Tamandua tetradactyla: one gene and its partner. Each later gene encodes a partner of the first gene's protein in a complex. Links are inferred from orthologs where the notes say so. Each region holds a gene or a part of one and is shown in the gene's direction. Other genes may lie near its edges.

Region 1 (8,006 bases):
GATTTGCATTTCCTTTATAGCCAATGATAATGAACATTTCTTCATGCACTTTTGAGCCATCTGTATCTTCTCTTCAGAAAAATGACTGCATCTTTAGCCCATTTTATAATTGGATTGTTTTTTCTTTTGCTGTTGAGTTGTATGATTTCTTTGTATAAACAGGAAATCAAACCTTAGTCTGATATGTGATTTCCAAATGTTTTCTCCCATTGAGTTGGCTGCCTCTTCACCTTTTTGACAAAGTCTTTTGAGGTGCCGAAGCATTTGATTTTGAAGAGTTCCCATTTATCTATTTTTATGTTTGCTGCTTGTGCTTTGGGTATAAAGTTTAGGAAGCTACCTTCTTTTACTACATCTTGCAGATGTTTCCCTACATTTTCTTCCAAAAGCTTTATGGTGCTAGTACTTACATTTAGGTGTTTGATCCACTTTGAGTTAATTTTTGTGTAGGGTGTAAGGGGTCCTCTTTCATTCTTTTGGCTATTGATATCCAGTTCTTCCATGCCCAATTATTGAAAAGACTATTTTGTACCAGTTCCAAGGATTCGGGGGCCTTGTCAGAAATCAGTTGACCATAGATTTGGTGGTCTATTTCTGCACTCTCGGTTTGATTCATTGGTCTTCTGTCTTTGTGCCAGTGCCATGCTGTTTTGACCACTGTGGCTTTATAATAGGTTTGCAAGTCAGGAAGTGTTAATCCTCCCATTTCATTCTTCTTTTTTAGAATGCTTTTAGCTATTCAGGGTCTCTTTCCCTTCCAGATGAACTTGGTAATTAGCTTTTCCAAATCTTCAAAGTAGTTTGTTGGTATTTTGATTGGTACTGCATTGAATCTGTAGATCAATTTAGGGAGAATTGACATCTTGACTATATTTAGCCTTCCTGTGCATGAGCAAGGAATGTCTTTCCACCTATTTAGATCTCTTTTGATTTCTTTTAGCAATGTTATGTAGTTTTCTGTGTAGAAGTCCTTTACGTCCCTAGGTAAGTTCATTCTTAAGTACTTGATTCTGTTAGTTGCTATTTTAATGGAATTTTTTCCTTAACTGACTCCTCAGTTAGGTCATTGCTTGTGTGTAGAAATGTTACTGATTTTTGGACCTTAATTTTATATCCTGCCACCTTGCTGAATTTGTTTATTAGGTCAAATAACTTTGCTGTAGATTTCTCAGGATCTTCCAAGTGTAGTATCATATCATCTGCAAGTAATGAGAGTTTTACTTCTTCATTTCCAATTTGGATGCCTCTTATTTCTTTGACCTGCCTGATTGCTCTAGCTAGACCTTTTAGCATAGTGTTGAATAATAGTGGTGATAGTGGGCAACCTTGTCCTGTTCCTGATCTAGGAGTAAAGCTTTCAGTCTCTCTCCGTTGAGTACAATGCTGGCTATCAGTTTTTCATATATTCCCTTCATCATATTGAGGTGGTTATCTTTGATGCCTATCTTTTGAAGTATTTTCATCAGAAAAGGATGCTGAATTTTGTCAAATGCTTTTTCAGCATCAGTTGAGATGATCATGTGATTTTTCCCTTTTGATTTGTTAATGTGCTGTATTACATTAATTGATTTTTCTTGTGTTGAAACATCCTTGCATTCCTGGTATAAACCCCACTTGGTCATGTGTATAATTCTTTTAATGTATTGTTGGATTCAATTTGCTAATATTTTACTGAGAATTTTTGCATCTGTGTTCATTAGGGAGATTGGCCTGTAGTTATCCTTTCTTATAGCATCTTTACCTGGTTTTGGTATTAAAATGATATTAGCTTCATAAAATGAGTTAGGTAGAGTTCCTTTGCCCTCAATTTTTTGGAAACATTTGAGCAGGATTGGTGTTAATTCTTTTTGAAATATCTGATAAAATTCCTCTGTGAAGCCATCTGGCCCTGAGCTTTTCTTTGTAGGAAGATTTTTGATGACTGATTGAATCTCTTTACTTGTGATTGGTTTGTTTAGATCTTCTGTTTCTTTCTGAGTCAGTGTAGCTTGTTGGTGTGTCTCCAGAAATTTGTTCATTTCATCTAAGTTGTCTAGTTTGTTGACGTATAGTTGTTCATAGTATTCTCTTAAAATTTCTTTTATTTCTTCAGGGTCTGTGGTAACGCACCTCTTCTCATTTCTGATTTTGTTTATTTGCATACTCTCTCTTTTTTTCTTTGTCAGTCTTGCTAGTGGCCCATCAATTTTATTGATTTTCTCAAAGAACCAACTTTTGGTTTTATTGATTCTTTCTATTGTTCTCCCATTCATTTATCTCTGCTTTAATCTTTGTTATTTCTCTTCTTCTGTTTGCATTGGGGTTAGTTTGCTGTTCTTTCTGAAGTTCCTCCAGATGTGCTTTTAAGTCCTTGATTTTTGCTCTTTCTAGTTTTTTAATACAGGCTTTTAGGGCAATAAATTTCCCTGTCAGCACAGCCTTTGCTGCATCCCATAAATTCTGATAAGTTGTATGCTCATTTTCATTCATCTCCAGATAGCTACTGATTTCTCTAGCAATTTCTTCTTTGACCCACTGGTTGTTTAAGAATATGTTATTTAATGTCCACATATTTTGGAATGTTCTCATTCTTCTTTGGTTATTGAGATCCAGCTTCATCTCATTGTGATCAGAGAAAGTGCTTTGAATAATTACAATGTTTTTGAATTTATGAAGACCTGTTATGTGCCCCAACATATGATCTATCTTGGAGAATGTTCCATGTGCACTAGAGAAGAATGTATATCCTTGTATTTTGGGGTTCAGTGACCTATATATGTCTGTTAGGTCTAATTCATTTATCAGGTTATTTAACTTCTCTATTTCCTTGTTGATCTTTGTTTTGGTTACAACTTGTGTGGAAAGTCTTTTACCATCCTTTCATTTTCAATATATTTGTATCCTTGTGTCTAAGATGAGTCTCTTGTAAGCAGCATACAGCTGGATTATGTTTCTTAATCCATTCTGCCAATCTGTATCTTTTAATTGGTAAGTTTAGTCCGCTTACATTCAAAGTTATTATTGAAAAGGTGTTTCTTGAATCCACCATCCTATCTTTTATATTTTATTTGTCAGACCTATGTATTCTTTTCCCTCTTTCTCTTTGTATTCTTTAAATTACTGTCAGTGGTACTCTTCAATCCTGTACCATCCTCCAGACTTCCCTCTCCTGCTTTTCTTTTTCAATAGGCAGAACTCCTTTTAGTATTTCTTGTACGGTCAGTCTCTTGTTGACAAATTCTTTCAGGACTTCTTTGTCTGTGAAAACTTTAATTTCTCCCTCAGTTTTGAAGGTCGTTTGGCTGGGTACAGAATTCTTGGCTGAAAGTCTTTCTCTTTCAGGATCTTGAATATATCATACCACTGACTTCTCACCATCAGGGTGCTAGCTGTAGTCTGAACTCAGTCTTATTTAGTTTCCCTTGTATGTAATAGATTGTTTTTCTCTTGTTGCTTTCAGGATTTTCTGCTTCTCTTCAACATTTGACAGACTAATTAGTATGTGCATTAGGGAAGGCTTATTTGGATTTATTCTGTTTGAAGTTCGTTGGGTTTCTTTGATTTGTATATTAATGTCCTTTATGAGAGTTGGGAAGTTTTCTCCCATTATATCCTCAACTACTCTTCCTAGTCCTTTACTCCTCTCTTCTGCTTATGGGACACCAGTGATTCTTATATTTGTGTGCTTTATGTTGTCTATCATTTCTCTGAGATTGAATTCAATTTTTTCCGTCTTTTTTGCCATTTGCTGTTTTGAGTCTTTGAAATTAGTTATCTTGTCCTCTATACCACTTATTATTTCTTCTTCTTCTTCAAATCTGGTGTTGTGTGCCTCTAGTATATTTTTTATTTGTTCATCAGAGTCTTTAATCTCTGACATCTGCTATTTTTCTATTTATTCTTTCAAATTCCTTTTTATGCTCATCTACTGTTTCTTGATATTCTTTATGTCATTTGCTATCCCACTAATTCTATTAGAGTTGTATGAACATCTTTGATTAATTGTTCCAACATCTATGTCTCATCTAGTGTTTTAATTTGGTCATTAGGCAGTGCTATATATGTCTGCATTGTAATATGCTTAGTGATCTTCTGCTGTCTTCGTGGGATGTAAATATCTTTTTTTTTTTCTTTTTCTTTTTTTTTTCTTTACATGGGCAGGCACCGGGAATTGAACCCGGGTCCTTGGGCATGGCAGGCAAGCATTCTTACCTGCTGAGCCACCATGGCCCACCCATAAATATCTTGATTGCTTTACTTTGGGAGTTGATTTCTTTCAGTAGTCTAAGGCCTTGCATTTGTGGGATGGATGTGCAGCAGGGAGCAGGGTACAGGGTGGGGCACTCAGTGTGGTGATTTGTTTCAGGGCAGATATAGGCGCAGTTTGGGGATGTTATGCTGATGCTTGTGAATGTGGGCACTCAGCGGCCAGGGAAAATGTAGCTGTGTGGGTACTCCGGTCTGAAGGGCATAACTCTGGTGTGTGCCAGCCTAAGGCATGGGGCCCTTTGTGCTCATGCATAGAGCTGTGGCAGTAGGTTGGTATTATGCCTTCATGGATTGGGGGCAGATGTAACCCGCTGTGCAGTTCAGCACTTGCTCAGAGCTGGGAATTGTGGCTGAGGGCCGTGTACATGTGTGGTTCTAGGACTGCTATAAAGTGTGGTTCCCAGAGCTGAATGACGTGATTGGGGACCCTTGTGCATGTGTGGGCCTAGGAAAGCCATTAACTGATATGCAGAGTCAGGGGAGGTGCCGTGAGGCTGTGTGAAACTATGGGCACGTGGCGGGAGTAGCCTGAGTATGGAGATTAGTGCCTGCAGCCTTTATGCGCTGGCAACAGCCTGTGGGGAACAGGGAGGGGGAGGTAGTACTTGGGAGGGGTGCAGGAGAAGTGCAGGAGAAGTGGGTTGGGCTGCAGTTAGGATTGGGTTGTGGGGCAGGTATGTAGGCTGGGGGGGTGGGGGTGTCTGGAGCACAGGGAATGGGAGCGGGTGACAGAGTTCAGGTATGTGGTGTGTGGGCTGAGTTGCCAGTCATGGGGCTGCGCTGGTGAGGGTAGCACACTCAAGGAATACAACCTGGCTTACTTCCTAGTCCCAGGCTCCTGTCCATGTACTCCCATGGGCTCTGAGCCTCTGCTCCAGGCTCCAGCTTTCTGCCTCTCAGTTCCTCAACCTCTGCAACCAGGGCTGCCTTGTGTGGTGCAGAAGGCTCTCCCGCATCAGCCACACTCCCAAATTGCTGCCTCGATCACCTTCCTGTCCCTTCTCTAACTTTTCCATGGAGCAGGGCTAATCTTAAGCTGCTCTATTTGACCGTCTTCCCAGAAGTCTCCCAGCCAAGTGTTTATCAAATGCTTTTTTTTTTTCTTTTACATCAGCAGGCACAAGGAATTGAACCCAAGTCTCCGGCATGGCAGGCGAGAACTCTGCCTGCTGAGCCACCATGGCCAACCCTATCAAACACTTTTTGTGTGTTAGAAACATGCTCTGAGTGGGAGTGGGTAGAAAGGCACCCAGCAACAAAGCTGTTTCTGTAAAGGAGCTCAGAGGTTAGTTGAGAAACAGACCTATAGAAATATTTTCAAAGTTAATGTACATTTAGTAGATACCTTGTATTGGGCAGCCTAATATATATTAAAAATAAAAATAAAAACGTGATAAACTCAGACCGTATTGGGACAGATGAAGTTACAGAGAAGGAAAGAGTCAAGTTAAGAGTAGGCATGGGAGTGTCAAGGATAGCTTTCCTGAAAAGACTGTGATTAAGCTAGTTTGGGAAAGACCTCTTTCCTAAGCAAATTACCATAGGGAAAGATAATGTTCTTCCCAGGCCACTGTGATTATCATCACTGTCACCAGTCACAAACCTTTATCTGCATCTATGTCTATATTTATCTATCTGTTATCTATCTAATCTAATCTGTCCTCTATCTCTCTATAATCATCATTTATCTAATCTATCATTAACATATTAATAACATAATCATCTAATCTGTCTGTTCATCTATCTGTGTAATCTGCCGTCTACTTCTCTGTAATCATCTATCTAATCTATCACTAACCTATATCTAACTTTCTCAACTATCTAATCACCAGTCTCTATTTAACCAAGGAAGATTAATTGCACTGTGGTTTGGGACATTTCTCTAGGAGTAGAAATGTATTCATTTTAGAAAGCAGTTTTGTTTTGGGGTCCTATAAAATGCTACTCTACATCTTTGCATTTCTATTAAAAGTGATTTTCAAATCAAGTTTGAGAAACCTTGTGGTTTTTCAGAGCAGGCTCAGGGGGAAGGGAAGATTCAAATTGGTAACAGTGTGATTCTGCAATTATCTTCCCCTAGGCCTCAGCCAGAGCAGAATATATATGTGGGATTTTATTATGCAATTTTATTTGAAGAAAAAAAAATGAAAATAAAAGTCTTTACTATAATGTCACATTATTTTTTTACTTAAAAAGTATTTAATGTATATTGATTGAAAGGATAATAAATACGTTAGTGCATATCTCACCATTACAGAGTTAGGCTGTTAAGGCAAAAGGGCAATTTGAGACCATTTGGAGTAACCCTTATATTTCATAGATGAATAAACTAAAGGCCAAAGATGTTATATGATTTGCTCCAGGTTTTACTGGCATTATTTTGGTAGATTTCCATTCTATTACTTTCTAAGTGTCACAAATAAAGTCACATATTGCAAGAGAATCAATAAACTATCGAGTCTTCGTAGCATTCTGGGAAATCATACTTTTCCAATTATATCATATGCAATATCATTATCTAATTAGATTAAAATTTTCTTCCCATTCTCTGGTATAAGATTTTCTTCTTTAGGCTAATCAAGTAAAACTAAAATTACCCTAAAGTCTTATACACTGACAGATTTTGCATTTTAATTCAAGTAAAAGACTATTTCAGATTACTTGCTATCAAGATTTTAAGTTAAATTATATTAGAAGGTACTTTTAAAATGTTAGGAATGTTTTTCTCTCTTTGTTTTTTGTATTTTCTTTCTGCAGTTGGATGCTGATGGCACCATTACTATAGAGGAGCAGATTGTCCTTGTGCTGAAAGCTAAAGGCCAGTGTGAGCTCAACATCACAGCCCAGCTCCAGGAGGGAGGTAAAGGTGCCAAGACATGTCCCACCCCTTTCTCCCCATCTCAGTTCCAAAAATGATTTCAAATTTCCCTCCTGATTTAGTGTTAGAGAACTCCTTATCAGTCTTTTCCTTCTTCCAGGTAGAGGGGTGTGGAGTAGAATAATGCTCTTTTTAATCTCTTCACCCCATGTGCTCCTCCCTCCTTCTGCATCCATATGCATCCTGTATCCATAAGCATTTTTTTCATCTTCTTGACCTATTCTTTCCTGAGAGCTATGTCTTAAAATCTCCCACGAATGGGGAGTTTTTCAATATTTCATTGAAGTTTTGCAATGTTTTGCTTCATCTATTTTGCAGCTATGTTATGAGGTATATACAAGTTAAGAAATGTTATACTGACTGGCAGATTGACCCTTTTGTAAGTATGAAGCAAACCTCTTAATCTTTATAAACTATTATATTAAATTGAACAATATTTAATAAATAAAACTGGCTGTCTCTTGCCTGGTATTTGTCTTGCATTTCTTTTCCTCACCTTTTCTTCAATTTTTCTGTATCTTTATGACCCTGGAGTATCTTTTTTTTTCATGGGCAGGCACTGGGAATCTCTCAGGCGAAAACTCTGCCTGCTGAGCCACCGTGACCTGCCCTGAAGTATCTTTTATAAGCAACTCGTTCATGGACCTTTTATTTTTATCCATTCTGATGGTTTTTGTCTTTTAACTGAAGAGTTTAGCCCAGTTAAATTAATTGTGATTACTAATATACAGTGTTTGAATTTTATCTTACCTTCTTATTTGGCCTTTTTATTTCACCAACTTTTCCTATGTGTCCCTCCTATTTCCACTGTACAATGCCCCACCTTTGGTTTCTTTCAGATTGATTGAGACTTTTTCCCTTATTTTCTTTTTTCTTGTAC
Region 2 (5,925 bases), on another chromosome or scaffold:
CGCTGGGATGCTGGCCATTGAGGAGGCCGGAGAGTGGGAGAGAGGCACTGACCACCCACGTGAACAGGGTTTTCATAGGCAAGGGAGGCGTGGCCTCCGCGCACGAGGGGCGGGGCCTGAAGTGGGGGGGCGGAGAATCAGGGCACGCAGCAGCTCCCGCGGAGAGGAGAGCGGAGGGATCTGGATGGACCCGGCTCCGCCTGATGCAATGCGCAGCGGGCCCCGGGGACGGATCTGGAAGTGTGCACCTGAAATCGCCGCGGGTTAAGGGGCGGGGCCTGGCCACGGAGGGATCGGGCTTATATGGCCTTTGGATCGGGGCCCAGTGCTCTGTGACCCCGCACCCCAAAGCGCCGGGGCAGACCCGGCTAAGGCGACTGGCGGGCGTCCCGGAGGGCCGGGGCGGGGTGGGGCGCTCACCTGGTTCATCCCCGTCGTCTGGGAGCCTGTGGTGCGCGAAGGGCCGCTGGCGAGCCGCCCGCCGGTACAGACAACACAGCAGCAGGAAAATGCCAACCAGCAGCCCGGTCCCCGCGAGGAAGAGGCACAGCGCCCCGCCCGTCGCGCCCCGCGGGCGCCCCACCAGAGTCACACCTGAAGGGGGAGAAGCCAGGGCGTCGAGGGGCCTGAGCTACCAGCCATCCCGCCTCAGACCCGGGGGTCCAGGCCCTCAGCCCCTCCTCCCCCAGAACCGGGGGTCCCCAAGCCTCTCCCCCCTGAGACCCGGCGTCCAGGCCCTCAGCCCCTCCTCCTCAGACCCGGGGGTGCCCAAGCCCCTCCCCCCTGAGACCCGGGCGTCCAGGCCCCCAGCCCCTCCCCTCAGACCCGGGGGTCCCCAAGCCCCTCCCCTCTCGCACCCGGGCTTTCAGGCCCCCAGCCCCTCCCCCCTCAGACCCCCGAGTCCTCGCGCCCCTCACCGGTCTCCTCCACCCGCTCCACTACGATGATCGTGTTCACTCCCTCACTCTGGCTGCGCCGCTGGGGGGCCCGTGGAGTGGCAGGGGGCTGCTGATTAGGAGGCTCTGCAATCCGGGCTGAGAGAGGAGGGGTGCTGGGCTCTTTAGGGCCAGGGTTCTGGGGTTCCTTCAGCTCGGTGGCCCCTGGAAAATCTGAGGTGGGCAGTTTCGGGGGGCTGGGCTGGGCGGTTGCAAGGGTTTCTGGCTTGGGATTCACGGACCCCTCCTTTAGGGTAGTAGGTTCATCCTTGGACGGTGCGGGTGTTTCTGGGAGATTAGTGGAGAGGTCAGGGTCAGAGGTCACGGGTATCTCTGTTGTATCTTGGTAGCGGGTTGTGGGAAATTCTGCTTGGGGTATTTCAGTGGGGCTGGGGTTGTAGAGGGTTTCACTGGGGTCAGGATGGCGGGGCTGGGAGAATTCAGAGTTTGGGGACTCAGTTGTGTTAGGATCATGGGTCTCTAGAGATTTGGGGTTGAGGGTCTTGGTGGGGTCAGGATTTGGGGTCTCATGGACTTCTGTGGCTGGGATTTCAGTGGGATTAAGTTCGGGGATCCCAGAGGATTCTGGGTGTGGAGTTTGGGTTGGGTCGGGGTTTGGGATCTCTGGGAATTCTGGGTGTGCAGTTCCGGAGGGATTAGGGTGGGGGTGGTCGGAGGGTATTTGGTGGGGAGTTTCAGCCGGGTCAGGTTTGGGGATCCGAGAAGGCTCTGGCAGAGTTGCCTCGGAGGGGTTAGGTTTTGAGGGCTCTGGGGATGCTGAGATGGAGGTTTTGAATGGGTGAGGCTTGGGGGTCTCAGGGAACCCTGGAGCTGGGGTTTCCTGGGGGTCCGGTTTGGGGATCTCAGTGAAGTCAAGGGTAGGAGTCTCAGGGGAAACCTCCTGAGGGGTCTTGTCCGGCTGAGGAGAAACGGCCCCCGGGGATTCCGTGTTGGGCCCGTAAGGAGTGGAATTTTCAGAAGCGCGCGGGGAAACAGCGGACGGGCCTGCTCCCGGGACGTCGGAGGCCGCGGACGGTGAGGCCGAGGGGGCGGCCGTGGAGCCCAGCCCGGCCAGGAGGAAGAGGAGGAGGAAGAGGGTCGGGTTGAACGGGTTCATAGCTCCGGGAGCCGCCTAAAGCTGCGGGGAAGCGGGAAGGAAGGGGTTAAAGCGGGAAGATCCGCGGAAGCCCCGCCCATTGCCCCTCCCCCCAGGTGGACCCGGGGCGGACCGCGGGCCACGCCCAGCAGGGCGCCAGGCAAAGGCGGGGACCCCGACCGCCGCTCCGCAGCTCCCCGAAGGCAGGGCAGTAGTCACAGTAGCTAAGGGAGACTGACGCCCTGAGCTTTCTGCAAGCGGTAGTTACAATTCAATTTCCTTCCCTGTTGCCCCCGGGGTCCCAGAAGAAATTGGAAAGAAGTACACCTCTCCAAGCCCGCAGGCCCTGTCTCTCTGAGGGCACCACGGGCAACTGGACTCAACAGTTGTTTACACAAGAGGAGGCTCGGGAGGCCGGGACTCCTGGGTGTTAGGGCGGGGGCACTGCTGGGTCCCCAGTAGAAGGTCAATGGGGGTCTGGACTCCCGCGTCCCAAAGGGTGGCAGAGGGGCTGAGAATCTGAATTCCCGGTTCTTTAGAAAGGAGAGGGAGGTCTGGAGGTTCTGACGCACAGGATATGGGGAGACAAAATTTGGGGGGGTGGGAGGGCTGGAAGAGAGGAGGTGGAGGTCTTAAACTCCTGAGGGAGAAAGGGATTGGGAATTCCAAATCCTCAGTGCTCGAGAGTTTGGGGTCTCGGGTAGGGACTCCAGAACCTGCAAGGAAGGCTGTTTATGGAGGATGGAGCTGGGATCCCAGGGGCTCCGGAGCAGAGATGCCCAGATGTGTGGTCAGGTGGAGACACCTGGATGGAACAAGGTCATTTGGGATCCTGAATTGGGTCCTGGGGTCTCTTACCTGCTCAGTGCAGTCCAAGACACACCAGCAGGTGAGCAGAGCTGGAAGCAGAAACAGGTGAATGTTGTAGAATGGCTCTGGGCATAGGGGGGGAGGTGGGGTCCCAGGGGTGGAGGTGACGCATCTGGCCCCATCCCCAGGGATGCTGGAAGCCTAGCAACAGGCTTGGGCTCTTAAAGACTCCCAGATAAAAGACATTGTTAGGAGTTACAGACTGGATGGCCTGGTGGTCTTCCCTTTGAGATCTGGAATCCGAGCCCCTGGCCCTCTCCTACCCTGACACCCAGAGACCAGCCCGCAGCCCCCTCATCCTCCCCCAGAACCCAGGAGTCCTGGCCCCTGTCCTCCCCATTCTCAAACCCAGGAGCCAAGCCCCAGCCTCCTCCTCTCTGGACGAGGAGCCTCACGTCTTGCGAATCAGAGAGACACAGTTGCAGCCCTTTGGGACGTTCCCACCTTTGCCCCCCTCCTGGGGGCACCCTCTTAATTGTCCATGGGGAGGAGGGTTGGGCCTGATCTCAAGACCCCCAAATTCTTCCCAGAGCAGGGCTTGGGTCCACCCACATGGAAGGCCTGGGTCCGTGTCTCTCTCCCCTCTTCACGGTCTCTGTAAGGTTTCTCTGATTTTGTCTCTGTCACCTTACCAGTCTTCCTGTGCCCCCCCCATATCCAACCATACGCCCCCCCAACCACATGTACCCTTTTCTGTCTTTCACCTTTCCCCCCCTCCCTATCACTCCGTCTTGCTGGTTCTCCCTGCCTGGGTTCACCTCTGGGCATCTCTCTCCTAGGCTGTCTGTCTCTCCATCTCCCCCTGTCTTTCTGCCAGCCTCCATCTCTATCTGGTTCTGTCTCCCCCTCTTCCATTCCTTTCTTTCTTCCTAGATTACTCCCTTTCTTACCGTCTATTCCTCTGTCACTCTGTCTGTCCCTCTCCCTGCTACTGCATCTCTGTGTGTGCGTTTATCCCCATCAGTCCTTTCTCTCTCGGTGTCTCTATCTTCTGCACTGATGGTCCCTCAGTCCAGCCTCTATTTTTATCCCTCTGACACACCCCCTGTGTCCACCTCTCTGTCTGTCTGTCTGTCCCCCTCCCTCTTCTCGGATCCAGGCTCCCATCCCAATTAGTCGGTGGTGGCCAGGCAGTGGCAGGGCCACCAACCCCAGCTCCTCATTACTGCTGGCAGCTCCTAATGAGCTTGGTGGGGGGCTGACCCCCAGCCCCCCGGGCCCCCCGCCTGCGTCACTGCCGCCGCGGGGGCTGTGGAGGCCATATAAGGGGGCCGCCAGCATCGCTGCCCAGCCCACTGCACGGTAGGGGGCCCCGTAGGCGGGCTGCAGGGTGGGTCGGTGGTGGGGTCTCCGTGCTGGGTGAGCCGCGGGCCTCACTGAGTCCCTCCCCCCTCTCTGCACAGGTGATGGAGACCCACCAGGTGCCCAGGACCCACCGGGTGCGGCTGCTGCTGCTGCTTCTGCTGCTTGTGCCCTGGGGCATCCGCACAGCCTCGGGGGTAGCCTTGCCCCCTGCGGGGGTCCTTGGGTAAGTGCGTGGGGACCAGGACACCCAGGGATGGGGTCTCAGAAAGATGGGAAGAGAGGACAACCAGAGAGAAGTAGGGACTTGGAGAAGTGGGAAAAGACCCAGAAATAAGAGGGACAAAGAGAGCAAAGAGGACAGAGGCCTGGGGGGTGGGGGGTGGGGCAGAGACCCAGAGAGACAGGGACTGAGTCCACAGAGAAGGGGACAGAGACCCAGAGAAGGGGCGGTAGAGACTCAGAGAGAGGGGGGCTGAGTTTTGGTGTGCTCAGAGAGGCGGACAGAGACCCAGAGAGGGGGAGACAGAGATCCAGAGATGGGGGAGGCCCAGAGAGGGGGACAGGGACCCAGAGAGAGGGGGACAGAGACCCAGAGAGATGGGAGAGACTCAGAGAGGGAGACAGAGACCCGGGGGTGGGGGTGGGACAGAGGCCCAGAGAGATGGGATAGAGACCCAGATAGAAAGGAAAGACAGAGACGTTGGGGTAGAGATGTGAGAGGGGGTGGACAGAGAATCAGCAAGAGAAAGAGAGAAATGAAAAGACAGATGCTGCCACTGGGAGGAAAGCGTTTAGAGATTTCAAGGGAGTCGAAGCTGTAACGGATGCGTCCCGGGGCGGCGTTCACTGAGCACTTGGTGCGCTCAGCGCATCCTGCGGAACAGAGAGGGGGCCGCAGAGACCCACGCGGGGAAGGAGACCGACAGAGAGACGGGGCCAGGGCCACCCCGCAGACGGCGCAATAACGGGGACGGCGGGGGGCTGGACGCGCGTGTAACCGCGTCTCTCGGTCTCCGCGCAGCCCCCGCACCCCGGACCGCGCCTGGGGGCTTCCCGGCAGCCCCGCATCGCGGCGGAGCCTGGCGCTGGCGGACGACGCGGCCTTCCGGGAGCGCGCGCGGCTGCTGGCCGCCCTCGAGCGCCGCCACTGGCTGAACTCGTACATGCGCAGGCTGCTGGTGCTGGACGCCCGCTGAGAGCCCCGCGCGCCCCCACCCCAATAAAGACCCCGCAGTGCGCCCGCGACTGCGCCTCCTTCCTGCGCCGCCCGCGGGGGCCCGCGCGGTCGAGCGTCTCGCCCCCCACTCTCCTCTCGCTCCTTTTTCTTTCCTTTTTAAAAACATCACCATTCCCTTCCTCTCTCTCTTTTTTTTCCTCCCCACTCCCTCTGGGTCCTAATTTCTTTCTCCTCTCTCTCTGGATCTCTGTCCCCCGCCCCCGCCCACACTCTGTCTCCTCCCTTTACTCCGGATCTCTGTTCCTTCTCTCCCGCGTTTTTCCCGCCCCTCCCCCGGGTCTCTGTCCCCCTCTCTCTGGGCCTCACTTCTTTCTCTCTTTCCACCCCTCTGGTTTCTTCGCTCTCTGGGGACCCCTGCCTCCCTTCTCTTTCTTTTTTTTTCCTTTTCTCTTTTTCCTGCCTCGAGATCTCTTCTGTCCTTCCTTTCTCTCTTTCCTTTTCCTCTACCTGACTTCTTAACGTCTTCCCTTTTTTTTTTCTTC

What was found. The genes of interacting proteins can lie anywhere in the genome.
Region 2: the proteins of PTH2R (region 1) and PTH2 are in contact, whole or in part, in a cryo-EM structure (PDB 7F16), measured with the Homo sapiens proteins. The link is inferred for Tamandua tetradactyla from reciprocal best matches to the Homo sapiens genes PTH2R and PTH2. Residues at the interface, in NP_005039.1 of Homo sapiens: Thr31, Ile32, Ile34, Gln37, Ile38, Asp68, Gly69, Leu70, Ile90, Tyr91, Asp92, Phe93, Met112, Lys117, Ala120, Tyr122, Leu126, Gln130, Pro131, Ser134, Lys137, Gln138, Phe141, Glu142, Tyr152, Arg190, Ile194, Lys197, Val201, Ile205; in NP_848544.1 of Homo sapiens: Ser62, Leu63, Ala64, Leu65, Ala66, Asp67, Asp68, Ala69, Ala70, Phe71, Arg72, Glu73, Arg74, Ala75, Arg76, Leu77, Ala79, Ala80, Leu81, Glu82, Arg83, Arg84, Trp86, Leu87, Tyr90, Met91, Lys93, Leu94, Leu95.

What each region holds. Positions count from the first base shown.
Region 1 is NC_135329.1:183,952,385-183,960,390, forward strand, and holds the start of PTH2R (parathyroid hormone 2 receptor), read left to right. Parts: upstream 1-4,963; coding exon 4,964-4,987; intron 4,988-7,005; coding exon 7,006-7,108; intron 7,109-8,006. UniProt on the Homo sapiens protein: This is a specific receptor for parathyroid hormone. The activity of this receptor is mediated by G proteins which activate adenylyl cyclase. PTH2R may be responsible for PTH effects in a number of physiological systems.
Region 2 is NC_135342.1:11,682,441-11,688,365, forward strand, and holds PTH2 (parathyroid hormone 2), read left to right. Parts: upstream 1-4,307; coding exon 4,308-4,429; exon of another isoform or gene 4,430-5,227; coding exon 5,228-5,402; downstream 5,403-5,925. Other genes in the region: GFY (Golgi-associated olfactory signaling regulator), read right to left, coding at 421-594, 918-2,052. UniProt on the Homo sapiens protein: Plays a role as a potent and selective agonist of PTH2R resulting in adenyl cyclase activation and intracellular calcium levels elevation. Induces protein kinase C beta activation, recruitment of beta-arrestin and PTH2R internalization.